Saccharomyces cerevisiae S288C: one gene and its partners. Changing the gene in region 1 together with any one later gene gives a genetic interaction. Each region holds a gene or a part of one and is shown on either strand. Other genes may lie near its edges.

Region 1 (7,260 bases):
GTACTGAATATTCTTTCTGATTTGAGCTAAAATAGTTTCAGCATTCTTATTGAAGTGTGTGGAGGTCATGCAATATCTCGTGTTGTTATCCACCATAATAAGCATGTACCTTTTAGTGTCCGCGTTTGAACTTGATACAGGGCCAAATATATCCATGCACCATGATGATCCTGGTTCATGATCAGTACTATGATTATTCATAGACCCGGTATAATGATTTCTTTTCGTGGCTTTAGAGATTTTACAGGTTTGACACCAAAATTCATTTGGTTCTTTGATTAAGTCAAGGGATTCTTCATAATGATTATGTTTTATGGAATTTTCAATTTGTTGAATTCCTGTATGGCCCATTCTTTTATGAGCATCTTCCAAGGTAATAGACCTTTTATTTAGTTTAAATCCAGGAGAAGAAGTAGGTTTTATTGCATTTATTTTTGAATCATCGGAAGGACGTTCAATTAACTCGTTCATTTTTACGTGAATGACACCATTAACTATCTTGGTTTTAATTTTTATGATTTTGTTTCCCAATCTGGTATATTTTCGACTTAAAACCATTTTGGTTTTCTTGGCTAAGTCATAACAGCTGATTATAGTGGATTCTTCTTCCGGTACATAGTAAGTCAATAAACACTTATTGTCAGTATTGTTGTGACCATTCTTGATTTTTATATAGCCATACCCTTTAACAGACACTGAACTGTTTTTCCCAATACCAAAAAATCGTGTACTGCGATTACTGTCTTCGTAATTATGCAGTAAGGTTTTGTCATTGGTAATGTTTACGCCGGAACCGGTATCAATAATTACCAGTTTTTTGCTGTTGTACACTTTGTTTGACTTTTTTTGTGTCTTGTTCCAAGACTTTTGTTCTTTTGCACTGGACTTAAGTTGTTGTTGTCTCTGTGCACCTTGTAGATAATAGGTTTTTGAGAAATTGGTCGAGTCAGGCCTAAGTTCCCTATTTGGTTTCTTTTTGCAGTTAATTGAGCAATGGAAAACAGATTTGCAATACATGCAGCTATTTTCTATTTGATCGTCTGCAATTGGGCTCAAATCAATTACTGTTTCAATAACAGTATTGATTAGAAATTCTTCGTGATTAATTCCTACGTTATGTGGAATGTTGTACAAACGTTGTTTCACAGAATTTCTTAAGGATTCATGTAAGGTTCCCATGATAGCTTCTTGTAGGTAATCCTTTAGATTAGGACAATCTTGGCAGCATTTAGAAAAAATCCATTTTTCCATTAGTACCAACTTTTGAAGTTTATTCATTAACAATGCGGAATTTCTACATGTTGTATCAACCAAAACCTTTTCCCAGGCTCTAATTCTGACATCTCTACCATGTAAACTTCTATATTTGTTTTTTAAACCATCGATTATCCTAAAAATGTCAGTTGTATTTGTGTTCATGATATCTAAACTTTCACCGAGTCCTTCTTTGATTATCTTGCACAAGATTTCATTTTCACGAGGATCGATTTCTATGATATCATTTTCAAAGACATCATCAAATTGATATTTCTTGATGAATTTTTTAAAATTGTTTAAGAGAATAGGAATGTTCTCGACATTATTAGTCCTATAATCAAAAACACAATCCTTAGGGTAGAATCTTTTGTTGGTTGAAGTTAACGTATCGAATAAATAGTAAGTCCCTGTAGCATCTATATGTTCATGTAATATATTATTGTTCTCGTTTGTTTCCAATAATTGTATCTTTTCAACTAGATCCACAATCCTATTCTCAACCTTGTCAATGGTTTCTCCGAGTTTTAATAATTTTTCAGCTAGCATCTGAATATCATCAGTCTCAGAAAGTTTTTCCTCTTCTGCCTTTAAACCATTTAGTATGGTTTTAAACCTATTTAAGTTTCTTTGATATTGTTTCACCTGTTCATCTTTAATAGAAACTTTTCTTAATGATGATGGCGTCTGTCTGACAGTATCATTTGTTTTGACTTTCGATTGAATCCGCGCAGAAATGTTGTCGTCAATAACATTTCTTGTTTCATCCCTCACTGGGGTCGCCATGTTGATAATTAGAGGTAAAAAATTAGTATTAATGAAGAAGTGAGTACTGATCTTCTTATACTAAATAAGAGAGGTATATAAAACACACGCCGATTGGTCATATTAATCATGACCAATATAATAGTGGTTCCGGTAGTTACTATACATTGATGTGACGACTCATATTCCTCATATATGTACCTACCATATCATGTTCAACTAATAGGTCTTTAACACAGCTTCAGTATTGTCTGAGCTTCTCGTTTAACATTCCTTCTGCAATAGGCGCAATCACACTTAAACGTATACGAGTTGTACATTAATATACGATGTAAGCATTAGATTGTTACCATAGCAACTCATGTCACTATTAATTACTCTCGTTCCAACAATCAAAGAATATTAAATGAACTTCAAATATTAAGTAATTCTCCTTGTTCTGCTTCTACGGCTCTAATCCATATTAGCATACCCGATTAATATAATTGCCTGCGATCGAATACCCAATGTACTGGATTTTGTTGGAACAAGTGATTTATCACAGTTCACACTGTCGTGAAGTAATTTGACGGTATATATCATATATAAACAATATTCAATGGTGAAATCAGCAGTTTGCGTTGAATTAAGAACATATACTACTTGAACATAAACTGGGGTTCATGTAAATGGAAAATATGAGCCATCGCATTGAGCATATGGCAGTCATAAGCAGTTTTGATTCTGCTTAAGATTCAATTAAAAGTAATTGAAAGAGTAAAATGTTTTATAGTTCAGTTAGTAACTTCGAGCAAGCTAGTGCTTGCCATTTAGGCCATTGAATAATTCAGTACGAGTATATGCTTATTATTATGGATAATTGATGCACTAGAACACAAGGAGAACGAGTATTTTAACAAATTGAGCTATTACAAAAGGAATACTTAGATACGGCATTATCTGACTTAAGGCTTCTTCATTAGTGATTGATTAAAAGAAAAAATAGAATGCAAAAGCTAAAGGAATTAAGCGAAACTAGGTTCCAGTAACACTTAATTTAGTAGCCTTATCAATATTAAGAAAGGATGGTAACCTCTAATATATCACTGCCATGTAATGAACTTCTATATTTTAGGGATTTAGGAGGGTTCTGATCTGAATCACTTATGTGTTTTATATTTTCTACATACAGCGCGACTGCTGTTTTCTATCCATAATTATTTTAAGCATGCGCTATCGTTTCTACCTAATGACAAATTGTGGTAACAGCCAGATTTATCTCAATATACATTAGTAGTCAATATCTCAAACGACATCGAATGCCGCACATAGCCATTTATTATAACAGATGAGAACCACATCACTTTTTATTACAAGGTGTCCATTATGACGACTGTAGAAGTATGCAAATCATAAGTTAGCCCAAAGAAGACATTTAGATTTTCTTACGACAATACTAATTAAGGTACCACGAACAAAGAGAGAACAGTAGGTATGTTGTATTGCTACGCCAACTTTTCTTGTGATCAAAAAGTTCAATGCATTCATTCTTCTTTATAATATAGTACAAACTGTTAATTTACTACATACGGAATCATGAGATTCTAAATTTAGTATACAGAGCTTAATTTATTCAATAAAGCATAACTAGTGCCGTAAAGAGTCTAAACCGGTATTTGGCACTGATCTGAGCTTATTGGAAAAACGTTACCCGACCAAAATAAATCACTTCTAGGAAGTAAAGGTATAAAGTATTGATGACAAATGCGTTCTAGTCCCAAAGGGACAAGAAGTTGTATTACTCTTTTCACATATATCAAGGCCACAAAGGTATCTGTTTACTTTTTGACTTTAGCAAAAATTTGAGGAAATCAGACAATGTTTCTCCCAAAATTCAATCCCATAAGGTCATTTTCCCCCATCCTCCGGGCTAAGACTCTTCTTCGTTACCAAAATCGGATGTATTTGAGCACAGAGATAAGAAAAGCTATTGAAGATGCCATCGAATCGGCTCCAGTGGTTCTTTTCATGAAAGGTACTCCTGAATTTCCCAAGTGTGGATTTTCAAGAGCAACCATTGGATTATTAGGAAATCAAGGCGTTGACCCGGCCAAATTTGCGGCTTATAATGTTTTAGAAGACCCAGAGCTACGTGAAGGTATCAAAGAGTTTTCAGAATGGCCAACTATTCCACAGTTATATGTAAACAAAGAATTCATTGGTGGATGTGATGTTATTACAAGTATGGCACGCTCTGGTGAATTGGCCGATTTGCTAGAAGAGGCACAGGCATTGGTACCTGAAGAAGAAGAAGAAACCAAAGATCGTTGATTTTGTTACCACTGGAAGCAAAATAGGAACTGGTGGCCGAACACTTTAATACTCGTGTGCATAATAGGCCTTTACGATCCATATTTATATATGCATGTACATTTGCTATTTTTTTAAAGATTTGTAATGTATTCTCATGCCTTTAGACTTGTAAATAACAGATTCTCTACTTACAAACCCCTCTCTTTGCTTTGCCAAATGAATTGACGTTATAAAACAAAGAAGTGAGAATTATGAATATATTTAATATTCCCCGCATAGACTTGAATCAAAAAACGTTAGTTTTAGAATGACAGAAGCCATATCTTCGTTCTGATTCAACGTGCGAAAGACGCGACAGACATTTGTTGGGGTTGTCTTTGTTACTCTCTTGATTTTCGATAGATTCCGTACTGTTACCAGTTTGCTTTTCCCCCATTTTTTTTAACGTAAAAGGATTGGAAGATAATAGGCGAGCTCAATTTTATTGCCCTGCGAAGCTTTCAAATATGTTAGTCAAAGGATCAAACTTCCTTTTGAAGGTGATAGGGATATAATGAACACACAATTGTGCCTTTAAGCCATTACTCACGAGTGGGATAGAAATGAAATTCTTTTCTTTTAAATGGTATTAATAATTAATATATTAAATAATTATATTGATTCTATACATAAAACATTAGTGTGAAATTTTCGGAAAATAATAATAGAAAGTAAAATCAAATGTAAAATTAAAAAAATGATGTTAAAGGACGCCAAAATTTGTGAAAAAAAATTGAAAATAAAAATTGTGTGTTAAACCACGAAATACAAATATATTTGCTTGCTTGTTTATTTCTTCGTGATTTTATTTTCGTCACCTGGAACTGTTTGGAAAATGTTGGTATCTTTTTCATGTCTTTCCTTTCTTGGCCCATTAAACCATTTCTTGAAATTCAAAACAGACTTCAAAGACCACACCTTAACTCTTACAACATAGTAACAAATCAACATAGCGGCAATATTGAAGCAAATATAAGCCCACATGAAACCAAAGTTTCTCCATCTGTGATCCCATTTGACATTGTATTTAGCCACAACTTGATCTTGAACAGTGTATGGGCAATATTGACAGTTTTCGGTGGCAGTTGGATTTACCAAATAACCGGTATTATTGTCCATATAGGTAGATAAAAACTCACCACAAGTTTTTCCGCTTGGTGGGTCCATGATGTTGTATTCATGAGGATTACAAACGACCTTTTTATTGTGAACTAATGGTGTAACCAAAGCTTGAACCACGTAGGTAAATGGTGATACATTATACATCAATCTTCTCCAGAAGGCAGGCATTTTCTCTCTTGGTTGTAAAATACCACAGAACAGTAACATAGCAGCAAACAAATTGGAATTAATCATAGAAGCTGAGGGAACATCAGGAGACATGTACAGGATCCATAGACCATATGTGACAAAATATAATGGGAAAATTAAAACATAGAAGAAGAAGAAGAAACCTGCATGAGATGCACGTCCACTGAATTGAGCTGGCCAGTAGTAGCAAATGAAACACATAAACTGACAAAGTGTGGACCAAAAGTTTTCAACAGCAGCATGACATAATAACAAGACACTCCAATGGAAAGTGTTAGAAGCGGCTTCTCTAACCTCATATAATTCCCTACTATCATAAGCGAAGACGTGCAGTTGATTGATCATAGCCAGAGCAATCAATAATAGCATGAAAATAGACGAAAAGGCCTCAATGGCACCACCAACAGAGTGATTTACACCAACATATGATAAACCGACGAACAAAGCACATGCGACACATTCAAAGAATTTGGCCCTGATATAGACAGGCGATCTCCAAAATTGAAGAGCTGTTCTACGTAAAACACATTTGATTTGAGTCATGTAACTGGCAGCAAATCTTGTAGCTAACTCAGGATCATCATTAACTGCTCTACCAGGTAAAGTACGATGTAATTCTTCAACTTCAGCCCTTGCAGCGGCACATTCTGGGGAAGCAAGCCATAAGTCGTGCCAATCAGAGTTAACACTAGCAGTGGCACCGGCACCAATACAATTCAAAATATATTCAGCTGGATTTTCAGAAACACCACACTTCATACCAGATTGACGTTCAAAATACTTCAACAAAGTTTCAGAATTTGGACCAATGTCACCAAAGTAAACCATCTTACCACCTTTCTTTAACAACAACAATCTGTCAAACTGTTCAAACAAGGTAGCAGAGGGTTGATGAATCGTACACAAAATGGATTGACCAGAATCAGCTAAGGCTCTCATGAATTGAACAATTGACCAAGCAGACTGAGAGTCCAGACCAGAGGTAGGCTCATCCAAAAACAATAATAATGATGGTTTAGCAACCAGTTCAACACCAATAGATAACTTCTTTCTCTGTTCAACGTTCAAACCTCTACCAGTCTTACCAACTAAGGCTTCAGCGTAATTTTGCATACCTAGCAATGTGATAATTTTTTCAACATATTCATATTTCTCCTCTAACGGAACGGAACTTTGCTGTCTTAACTCGGCTGCAAATCTCAGGGATTCCCTAACAGATAATTCGGCCATATGATTATCGGCTTGCGCAACATAACCACATGATCTGTTGAAAGAAGCAGGCAAGGGCTTGGCATTGACTAACATATCACCAGTGATGACACCCATATTGATTCTTTGTGCTAAAACATTTAACAAGGTAGTTTTACCAGCACCGGATTCACCCATCAAGGCGGTCATCTTACCAGGCTTAACGTAACCAAAGACATCCGATAATAATTTTCTTGTAGCTCCGTCGTATGGAATGGTGTAGTCCAGATGGTTCCAGGTGAAAACGTCCTTTTCTGCAATGACCTTTTCTAAATCGACATTTGGACCATTCAGAGCCTCCATCATTTCCTCTCTGGAAGCGGTTCTTGCATCTGCATTTTCGGTACCTAA
Region 2 (5,819 bases), on another chromosome or scaffold:
CGTCTACACCATGGTCTAACCAGTATCCAACGGCACTTTCGTAGATTGCCTTTCTACAGTCCTCATTCTCCCAATTCAAATCAGGTTGGGTGGAGCAAAACAAACGCAAGTAAAACTCTTGTGTCTTTTCATCGAACGTCCATGCAGAACCACCGAAGTAAGACCTCCAATTGTTTGGAGGAATTGGCTTGCCTTCGGCGTCATAACCCTTAGGAGGTCTCCAGAAGAACCAGTCACGTTTTGGATTGGTTTTTGAGGATCTGCTCTCTTTGAACCATTCATGTTCGCTCGAGCAATGGTTGATGACTAAGTCGGTGATAAATTTCATACCAAGCTTATGTGTCTTTTCGATCAAGGCAAAGCAGTCCTCGTTCGTACCGTAGGTTGGCCAGACCTTTTCGTAGTTGGCAATATCGTAACCCATATCATCTTGTGGCGAGTCGTAGAATGGTGAGATCCAAATGGCATCGGCACCAAGCTCTTTGATATACTCCAACTTGGAGGCAATACCCTTCATATCACCCCACCCATCGTTGTTGGAGTCTTTGAAACTTGCGGGATAAATTTGATAGATTGTGGCCTCTTTCCACCACTTGGGTTCTGTTTCTGGATGTGCAGAAGAAATAGTCATTGTACGTTGCTTTCTTTTCTTTATGAAAAAACTTTCACTTTTGTTTGTGTGTTTGGACTGGTGAATGGAACATATATTCTAGTACAGCTAATTCCTCGAGTGAAGAAGTCTTTCTTACTTATATATGTCTTTTACGTGCCTATGGACGTCTTACGAATGATCGAAAATAAGAAAAGAACAAAGTAAATTTAGGATCTGGAAGGAGTGCTGTATGTAAACGAAGCTTTCAGTTTTAGGTAATGTTTGCACAACCTACATGATATAACATGGTATGTTCTGCAAGAGCGTGCCTGGCCCTTGGCCCGTTATAGCAGATCATACCATCTGCAAGCAGACCCCATTATTGCACTGCCTCCGCAATCTTGCGTATACGTAGTCCCACGACAAAGTACGAAGCGTAAACTGACCTTGTTCAGTTCCCCACAAAAATTACATAACCATTTCTCCGCGGAATTACATAATCATTTCTCCGCGAAAATTACATAATCATTTCTCCGTGCGAGTTATAAGTGCTTTTCTCGTGCATCCCTTGGCACTTCACAAAACCTTCTTTTTCTTTTTTTTCTTTATTTCAGGGGAAATCAGTGCAAAACTAAAAAAGAAAGAAATTTTGTGAAATGTAAACTCCAGGTGTCAAAAAATAAATTATATCCGTGGAAAATCAGGCGTCGGAAATTGTAGATGAAACCGCCTCCTCCACAATAAATGCTGACCACACGAACAATGCATACACTCGGACACCTTCGTTCAAAGTATCAGTAGCAGTTCGACACACCGTATACTACTTAGCTCTTAAGGTCTAGGCTCATCTTTCTCAGTTCCTCTTTTTCGCTAATTAAAGGTATATAATGTCACAGTTGTGTAACTAGAGAAGAGCACACTTGTTCCTATCTTTTTCTTCTTCTTTTTTTGGTATGAGTTGAAAAAAATAATCATTGCACAATTTAGTTCTAAACGCTTTTGTTATTACTCAATATCATGTCAGGTGTTAATAATACATCCGCAAATGAGTTATCTACTACCATGTCTAACTCTAACTCAGCAGTAGGCGCTCCCTCTGTTAAGACTGAACACGGTGACTCTAAAAATTCCCTTAACCTAGATGCCAATGAGCCACCTATTGACTTACCTCAAAAACCCCTCTCTGCGTATACCACCGTCGCAATCCTGTGTTTGATGATTGCATTTGGCGGCTTCATCTTTGGTTGGGATACCGGTACCATTTCTGGTTTTGTTAACCTTTCTGATTTCATCAGAAGGTTCGGTCAAAAAAATGACAAGGGAACCTACTACTTATCGAAAGTAAGAATGGGTTTGATCGTCTCAATATTCAACATTGGCTGCGCCATAGGCGGAATTGTCTTGTCAAAAGTCGGTGATATATATGGTCGTCGTATTGGATTGATTACAGTTACTGCCATTTACGTTGTAGGCATCCTAATCCAAATAACTTCCATAAACAAGTGGTACCAATACTTCATTGGAAGAATTATTTCTGGCCTAGGAGTGGGAGGCATTGCTGTCCTTTCCCCAATGTTGATATCTGAAGTTGCTCCCAAACATATCAGAGGAACTCTGGTCCAATTGTACCAGCTGATGGGTACGATGGGTATTTTTCTAGGATACTGTACCAATTACGGTACCAAGAACTATCACAACGCCACTCAATGGAGAGTCGGCCTTGGTCTTTGCTTTGCCTGGGCTACATTCATGGTTAGTGGAATGATGTTTGTACCAGAATCACCACGTTACCTGATTGAGGTTGGTAAAGATGAGGAAGCGAAACGTTCACTATCGAAATCCAACAAAGTCTCAGTTGACGATCCAGCCTTGCTAGTTGAATATGACACTATAAAGGCAGGAATTGAACTTGAAAAGCTGGCAGGTAACGCATCATGGTCTGAACTACTCTCCACTAAAACAAAGGTCTTTCAGCGTGTTCTCATGGGAGTGATGATCCAATCGCTGCAGCAATTAACCGGTGACAACTACTTCTTTTACTACGGTACCACCATCTTCAAATCTGTCGGTCTAAAGGACTCCTTTCAGACTTCGATCATTATCGGTGTGGTTAATTTTTTCTCTTCATTCATAGCGGTATACACCATTGAGAGGTTTGGACGCCGTACGTGTCTATTGTGGGGTGCTGCTTCTATGCTATGCTGCTTTGCTGTGTTTGCCTCCGTCGGTGTGACAAAGTTGTGGCCTCAAGGAAGCAGTCACCAAGACATTACTTCTCAGGGCGCCGGTAACTGTATGATTGTGTTTACTATGTTCTTCATTTTTTCGTTCGCCACCACTTGGGCAGGCGGCTGTTACGTTATTGTCTCAGAGACGTTTCCTCTTAGGGTCAAATCAAGAGGAATGGCAATCGCAACAGCTGCAAACTGGATGTGGGGTTTCCTGATTAGTTTCTTTACCCCATTCATTACCGGGGCAATCAACTTTTACTACGGTTACGTATTCTTAGGCTGTCTGGTTTTTGCATACTTTTATGTCTTTTTCTTTGTCCCAGAAACAAAAGGCCTGACACTGGAGGAGGTGAATACTATGTGGCTGGAAGGTGTGCCAGCATGGAAATCGGCCTCATGGGTGCCACCGGAGAGAAGAACCGCAGATTACGATGCTGATGCAATAGATCATGACAATAGACCAATTTACAAGAGGTTCTTTTCCAGCTGATCTTCTAGTTTTCGGTAAATTGGTAAAAAAGCAAAAAAAAAAATTGACGAAACTAATTCTCTATTATACATAATGTTTTTACTTTTGTACCCTTTAATTTCTAATGAATGTTTTATGGAAGCTTCAATAAATGCGTGACTGGCTATAGTTGTCGGATGGCAATCCATTATTATGTATACCGTATTATTAAGAGTGCAACTAGGCCCGACTATAAATCTAACACTCAGATCCTTGTACTGTAATGCATATTTATTTTTTCACAAGTTGCATGCTAATAATACCATGATATTTTTTGAAGCCTTGAAAAATAGTTCAAGCAGCTACGATATCATGAATCAATATACTCATTGCAGCCTATGTAATATATATAGGTTCCGTGTTACCACTCGTTTCTGATATTTTCGATATGGCTACACTGGGTTTTTCATGATGGAAATGTGATACTACCAGTTCCAATATATTTATCTTCCTTATCTATATGACACGCTGTTATTTTAGTTCAAGTCAGTGTCCAATTGGGGTGAGTGTCACGTGCACAACGACGGTAGTCGTTGGATGTGCTAAATGATGTTCTACTGCCAATGACTGCAAATACGTTCGAAGAGTATAAAATCGAAGGAAACGAATTAAGTTGCCAATCCTTACTGTAACTATAGCATGTTACATATATGTACCATAAGTATCACATTAAGGTTTCGCCATAGCCATGTGCCTATATTAAATAGAAATATCACATGGCGATCCACGGAATGTTTATAGATTTTCTTCTTTTGTCTATGGCCCGGGCGAGACATTAATTTATCTTGCTGAAAAATTCGAAAGTTAAAACTCAATTATGCGTGGGATTTCTCAATTAGGTTACCAGAATTTCAATCTGCTGAAGAATTATGTCTTAAAAAAAAAAGTCCCGCCTCAAAAAAGCCAAAAAGGGTGTGACTGTAGATTGTGGGTTACTTGCTGTCAAATGACATGAAAATCTCTGCCTGCATGATCCCTGTCAAAATTCGAAAACACGCGGTCATAAAATTGTGCCTCAAAAAGATATCTTTTCCTGCGGGTTCTCTTAGTAAATGAGGTTAGGTTGTTTCCTATTCTTACGAGATTTCCCTTGTTCTCGCCGCTCACATCATTGTCGGTAAGATCTTCCGTAGTGGCAGGTCAAGCAGTGAGGAAGAAAGATCGGCAGTAAACTGATAAGAGCCAAACCGAAAAGTTTCTTATACGCAAAAACGCTTTGAAAATTCTCCAAGAATCCTATTTGAAACTCTTATTAATAAATAAAGTATAAATATAATAAAGTTTATTGTGAGACATGTCGCGATAAGCACCCCTTGTCTTTCTTGGAAGGGAGAAATTTGTAATATAAAGCCAAGTGTTCAGAACTCGATTTTTTTCTGACCAAAGAGCGGAAGCTCCACTATAAAAGTTGGGAGGTACTTTTAGGTTCTCTTAAGTTCGCATTTAATTATGGCCTGAACGATTTTACTGTGGACAATAAGTGAAATAAGTGTCCTTAAAATGTGTACGATGTGTACACATCAACCTAGTCTCCCCTTCATTGGCAGAAGAGGGAACCATTTCATCCAAAAAGAATAAAAAAAATAAAAAAAATCCAAATATTAAGCTAAAAAAATACTTAACTGTTTACACAAAGCGTATATAAAACGCATATTAAGAACCTATCTCGTTTCAGAGGAATAAACTTTTAATTCCTCAGTTAAAAAAATTAGTTAAAGAAAGCAAGAACGAAAATACCGACCAATGCATTCAAAGTATTGGCATTCAAACCTGCGGCAATACCCTCGGACTGGACAATGATACCAGTAGAGGTCTTTATTGGAGCTGCAGATTTGGAGTATGTGGAAATTGCACTAGAAGCCTTGGAAATGGCAGTAGTCAATGAGGTTGCTTTAGAACCCTCAGAAGTGACAGTAGTGTATGACTTTGGAGAAGCACTAGTTGCGGTGACGGTTGAAGTAGCTTCAGGTATTTGAGAGGTGATTATCTTGACGTTACAACCATTGTCATCACATTGAGTAACAGTGGCAGTAGTGTATGTCTTAGGGGCAGCACTGGTTTCTGAAGTTTCTGAAGTTTCTTTAGGAGCTTCAGAAGTGACAGTCTTGGTGCTACATCCATTGTCATCGCACTGAGTAACAGTAGCGGTAGTGTATGTCTTTGGAGAAACAGTAGTGGTTGTGGCTTCAGGGGCCTCAGAGGTGACAGTCTTAGTGTTACAGCCGTTGTCGTCACAGTGAGTAACGGTAACAGTAGTGTATGATTTTGGAGAAGTAGTAGTTGCTGAAGTTTCTTCAGGACATTCAGAAGTGACAGTCTTGGTGTTACAGCCATTGTTGTCACAGTGGGTGACGGTAACAGTGGTGTATGATTTGGAAGAAACGGTTTCAGTGGCGACGGTACCGGTAGACGTAGTTACATGACATCCGGTCTCATCGCAAGAAGTGATAGTGGCGGTGGTAGATGAACATGGTACGGTTGTGGTAAT
Region 3 (5,672 bases), on another chromosome or scaffold:
AACCTTTGTATCATCACTTAAACTCTCCACTAAAGGAATATTGATACTATATAGATCTGTTTTTGGGTCCCAATTCTTAACAAGATGTTTGATAACATCTAAAGATCTCTTAGAGGCCTTCTCCATTAAAAGTGGGGAGACGTTTTTCAATCCATTAAAATAGGCCCAAGAAATAGCAATGGCCTTTGTATTTCCAGTAATAACAGATTCCATTGCGCCTCCTACGGTACCAGAAGAGGTAATATAAGCAGCAGATGTATTTCTACCAACATTTGGACCCGACAGTACTAGATCAAACGGTTCATTAGACAATAGGTGCAGCCCGATGTTTGCGCACGATGCTGGAGTTCCATCGATTAATATCCACTCAATTGTATCTTTCGGAATTTCAGCATTGAGAACATAAGGTAATTTAGAGTTTTCTGACCTAATTTGTGGCTGGATAAATGGGCCCCAAAAAGTATTGTCTTCAGCGTCAACTTTAGAATATATGAATTGAGCTGTCAAATTTTTACCAGCAAGATGAGCCTTACCCACCCATGATTTCTGGACATGAGGTACACAAACCGTGATTTTCCATTCAGGATAATTTCTTTTAATGTGCTGAATAAAAGGTCTAATGTATGGTGAAAACTGATCACTTAAGGGACCATCATCGTTAGTTATTAAAACCCGCATCTTAAAAGAAATATTTATTGTTTCCGAATTTTTAATGTCAGAGATCAAGTCAGAGCGGCTGCCTTTACCGTAATTTTCAATTGCTAAATACAATGTTCCTTGGTTATCCCATCGCCAATAATTTTTATTTTTACCACTGTTGAAGAAGCGAAAGAAAAAAAAAGGGAAAATCAAAACATTCCCTGTGCACTAATAGAAGAAAACAAGAGACTCCGTCCCTCTTTAGTGAGAAAATTGACCAGAGATGGTTTTTGTCCATCTTTTCGCAAAAAATTAGTTCTATTTTTTACACATCGGACTGATAAGTTACTACTGCACATTGGCATTAGCTAGGAGGGCATCCAAGTAATAATTGCGAGAAACGTGACCCAACTTTGTTGTAGGTCCGCTCCTTCTAATAATCGCTTGTATCTCTACATATGTTCTATTTACTGACCGAAAGTAGCTCGCTACAATAATAATGTTGACCTGATGTCAGTCCCCACGCTAATAGCGGCGTGTCGCACGCTCTCTTTACAGGACGCCGGAGACCGGCATTACAAGGATCCGAAAGTTGTATTCAACAAGAATGCGCAAATATGTCAACGTATTTGGAAGTCATCTTATGTGCGCTGCTTTAATGTTTTCTCATGTAAGCGGACGTCGTCTATAAACTTCAAACGAAGGTAAAAGGTTCATAGCGCTTTTTCTTTGTCTGCACAAAGAAATATATATTAAATTAGCACGTTTTCGCATAGAACGCAACTGCACAATGCCAAAAAAAGTAAAAGTGATTAAAAGAGTTAATTGAATAGGCAATCTCTAAATGAATCGATACAACCTTGGCACTCACACGTGGGACTAGCACAGACTAAATTTATGATTCTGGTCCCTGTTTTCGAAGAGATCGCACATGCCAAATTATCAAATTGGTCACCTTACTTGGCAAGGCATATACCCATTTGGGATAAGGGTAAACATCTTTGAATTGTCGAAATGAAACGTATATAAGCGCTGATGTTTTGCTAAGTCGAGGTTAGTATGGCTTCATCTCTCATGAGAATAAGAACAACAACAAATAGAGCAAGCAAATTCGAGATTACCAATGTTTAAATCTGTTGTTTATTCAATTTTAGCCGCTTCTTTGGCCAATGCAGGTACCATTCCCTTAGGCAAACTAGCCGATGTCGACAAGATTGGTACCCAAAAAGATATCTTCCCATTTTTGGGTGGTGCCGGACCATACTACTCTTTCCCTGGCGACTATGGTATTTCTCGTGATTTGCCTGAAGGTTGTGAAATGAAGCAACTGCAAATGGTTGGTAGACATGGTGAAAGATACCCTACTGTCAGTCTGGCTAAGACTATCAAGAGTACATGGTATAAGTTGAGCAATTACACTCGTCAATTCAACGGCTCATTGTCATTCTTGAACGATGATTACGAGTTTTTCATCCGTGATGACGATGATTTGGAAATGGAAACCACTTTTGCCAACTCGGACGATGTTTTGAACCCATACACTGGTGAAATGAACGCCAAGAGACATGCTCGTGACTTCTTGGCTCAATACGGTTACATGGTCGAAAACCAAACCAGTTTCGCCGTTTTTACCTCTAATTCTAAGAGATGTCATGACACTGCTCAATATTTCATTGATGGTTTAGGTGACCAATTCAACATCACCTTGCAGACTGTCAGTGAAGCTGAATCCGCTGGTGCCAACACTTTGAGTGCTTGTAACTCATGTCCTGCTTGGGACTACGATGCCAATGATGACATTGTAAATGAATACGACACAACCTACTTGGATGACATTGCCAAGAGATTGAACAAGGAAAACAAGGGTTTGAACTTGACCTCAACTGACGCTAGTACTTTATTCTCGTGGTGTGCATTTGAAGTGAACGCTAAAGGTTACAGTGATGTCTGTGATATTTTCACCAAGGATGAATTAGTCCATTACTCCTACTACCAAGACTTGCACACTTATTACCATGAGGGTCCAGGTTACGACATTATCAAGTCTGTCGGTTCCAACTTGTTCAATGCCTCAGTCAAATTATTAAAGCAAAGTGAGATTCAAGACCAAAAGGTTTGGTTGAGTTTTACCCACGATACCGATATCCTAAACTTTTTGACCACCGCTGGTATAATTGACGACAAAAACAACTTAACTGCCGAATACGTTCCATTCATGGGCAACACTTTCCACAGATCCTGGTACGTTCCTCAAGGTGCTCGTGTCTACACCGAAAAATTCCAATGTTCTAACGACACCTACGTCAGATACGTCATTAACGATGCTGTTGTTCCAATTGAAACCTGTTCCACTGGTCCAGGGTTCTCTTGTGAAATCAATGACTTCTACGACTATGCTGAAAAGAGAGTAGCCGGTACTGACTTCCTAAAGGTCTGTAACGTCAGCAGCGTCAGTAACTCTACTGAATTGACCTTCTACTGGGACTGGAACACTACTCATTACAACGCCAGTCTATTGAGACAATAGTTTTGTATAACTAAATAATATTGGAAACTAAATACGAATACCCAAATTTTTTATCTAAATTTTGCCGAAAGATTAAAATCTGCAGAGATATCCGAAACAGGTAAATGGATGTTTCAATCCCTGTAGTCAGTCAGGAACCCATATTATATTACAGTATTAGTCGCCGCTTAGGCACGCCTTTAATTAGCAAAATCAAACCTTAAGTGCATATGCCGTATAAGGGAAACTCAAAGAACTGGCATCGCAAAAATGAAAAAAAGGAAGAGTGAAAAAAAAAAAATTCAAAAGAAATTTACTAAATAATACCAGTTTGGGAAATAGTAAACAGCTTTGAGTAGTCCTATGCAACATATATAAGTGCTTAAATTTGCTGGATGGAAGTCAATTATGCCTTGATTATCATAAAAAAAATACTACAGTAAAGAAAGGGCCATTCCAAATTACCTATGTTTAAGTCTGTTGTTTATTCGGTTCTAGCCGCTGCTTTAGTTAATGCAGGTACAATTCCCCTCGGAGAGTTAGCCGATGTTGCCAAAATTGGCACTCAGGAAGACATATTCCCATTCCTGGGTGGTGCCGGGCCATACTTCTCTTTCCCTGGCGACTATGGTATTTCTCGTGACTTGCCTGAAGGTTGTGAAATGAAACAATTGCAAATGCTTGCCAGACATGGTGAAAGATACCCAACTTACAGTAAAGGTGCTACCATCATGAAAACATGGTATAAGTTGAGCAATTACACACGTCAATTCAACGGCTCATTGTCATTCTTGAACGATGATTACGAGTTTTTCATCCGTGATGACGATGATTTGGAAATGGAAACCACTTTTGCCAACTCAGACAATGTTTTGAATCCATACACTGGTGAGATGGATGCTAAGAGACATGCTCGTGAGTTTTTAGCGCAATATGGCTACATGTTCGAAAATCAAACCAGTTTCCCAATTTTCGCCGCTAGTTCTGAAAGGGTTCATGACACTGCTCAATATTTCATTGATGGTTTAGGTGACCAATTCAACATCTCCTTGCAGACTGTCAGTGAAGCCATGTCCGCCGGCGCAAACACTTTGAGTGCTGGTAATGCGTGCCCAGGATGGGATGAAGATGCTAACGATGACATTTTGGACAAATACGATACCACATACTTGGATGACATTGCCAAGAGATTAAACAAAGAAAACAAGGGTTTGAATTTGACCTCAAAGGACGCCAACACTTTGTTTGCATGGTGTGCATACGAATTGAACGCTAGAGGCTACAGTGATGTTTGTGATATCTTCACCGAAGATGAATTGGTACGTTACTCATACGGCCAGGACCTGGTATCGTTTTACCAGGATGGACCAGGTTATGATATGATCAGATCCGTCGGTGCCAACTTGTTTAACGCTACTTTGAAGTTGTTAAAGCAAAGTGAAACTCAAGACTTAAAAGTCTGGTTGAGTTTTACCCACGATACCGATATCCTAAACTATTTGACCACCGCTGGTATAATTGACGACAAAAACAACTTAACTGCCGAATACGTTCCATTCATGGGCAACACCTTCCATAAGTCCTGGTACGTTCCTCAAGGTGCTCGTGTCTACACCGAAAAATTCCAATGTTCTAACGACACCTACGTCAGATACGTCATTAACGATGCTGTCGTTCCAATTGAAACCTGTTCCACCGGCCCAGGGTTCTCTTGTGAAATCAATGATTTCTACGACTATGCTGAAAAGAGAGTAGCTGGTACTGACTTCCTAAAGGTCTGTAACGTCAGCAGTGTCAGTAACGTCACCGAATTGACCTTCTACTGGGACTGGAATACTACTCACTACAACGATACCCTATTAAAACAATAAATTGTATAAATAAATAATATTGCAAATATAAATAAATACCCATCGATTCTGATCTTCTTTTATGTACTAGTAGGGTAACGAGTTTGTAGATTAGCGGCAGAATGAAAAGAAAAAAGTTAACTAAAAAGTAAGAACAGCAAAGTTGATTGTAGTCTATATTGCTGAAATAGATATCGGAGCTCCCGTATAATATTAAAGTGCACCAAGAAAAGGATGTCGTTCTTTTTAAATAGTCTAAGGGGCAACCAGGAGGTCTCGCAAGAGAAGCTAGACGTTGCAGGAGTGCAATTCGATGCGATGTGCTCGACTTTCAACAATATTCTCAGTACGTGTCTTGAGAAATGTATTCCGCATGAGGGCTTTGGTGAGCCTGATCTAACGAAAGGTGAGCAATGCTGCATAGACAGATGTGTGGCAAAGATGCATTACAGCAATCGCCTCATTGGAGGATTTGTACAAACACGAGGTTTCGGGCCAGAGAATCAGCTACGACATTATTCGCGATTTGTGGCCAAAGAAATAGCTGATGATTCCAAAAAATAGCTGTAAATATGAGGACTGTCTGTGCTGTTTGTATATAATAGTAACCTGCATATATAGCATTATAAGCTGTGTAGACAATTTTAGAAGTACATTTATATGGTACCCGCACCTGG

What was found.
Region 2: mutations in GRX5 (region 1) and HXT11 together harm fitness less than expected from each alone (positive genetic interaction), as found in Saccharomyces cerevisiae (one large-scale study listed by BioGRID).
Region 3: mutations in GRX5 (region 1) and PHO5 together harm fitness less than expected from each alone (positive genetic interaction), as found in Saccharomyces cerevisiae (one large-scale study listed by BioGRID).

The regions. Positions count from the first base shown.
Region 1 is NC_001148.4:440,703-447,962, forward strand, and holds GRX5 (monothiol glutaredoxin GRX5), read left to right. Parts: upstream 1-3,876; coding exon 3,877-4,329; downstream 4,330-7,260. Other genes in the region: ATP-binding cassette multidrug transporter PDR12, read right to left, coding at 5,140-7,260. UniProt on the Saccharomyces cerevisiae protein: Monothiol glutaredoxin involved in mitochondrial iron-sulfur (Fe/S) cluster transfer. Receives 2Fe/2S clusters from scaffold protein ISU1 and mediates their transfer to apoproteins, to the 4Fe/FS cluster biosynthesis machinery, or export from mitochondrion.
Region 2 is NC_001147.6:23,664-29,482, forward strand, and holds HXT11 (hexose transporter HXT11), read left to right. Parts: upstream 1-1,609; coding exon 1,610-3,313; downstream 3,314-5,819. Other genes in the region: oligo-1,6-glucosidase IMA2, read right to left, coding at 1-631; YOL155W-A (uncharacterized protein), read left to right, coding at 3,421-3,555; HPF1 (mannoprotein), read right to left, coding at 5,040-5,819. UniProt on the Saccharomyces cerevisiae protein: Probable glucose transporter.
Region 3 is NC_001134.8:427,042-432,713, reverse strand, and holds PHO5 (acid phosphatase PHO5), read left to right. Parts: upstream 1-1,762; coding exon 1,763-3,166; downstream 3,167-5,672. Other genes in the region: PBY1 (putative tubulin tyrosine ligase), read right to left, coding at 1-678; acid phosphatase PHO3, read left to right, coding at 3,613-5,016; TIM12 (Tim12p), read left to right, coding at 5,230-5,559; YBR090C (uncharacterized protein), read left to right, coding at 5,656-5,672. UniProt on the Saccharomyces cerevisiae protein: Partially mediates extracellular nucleotide derived phosphate hydrolysis along with NPP1 and NPP2.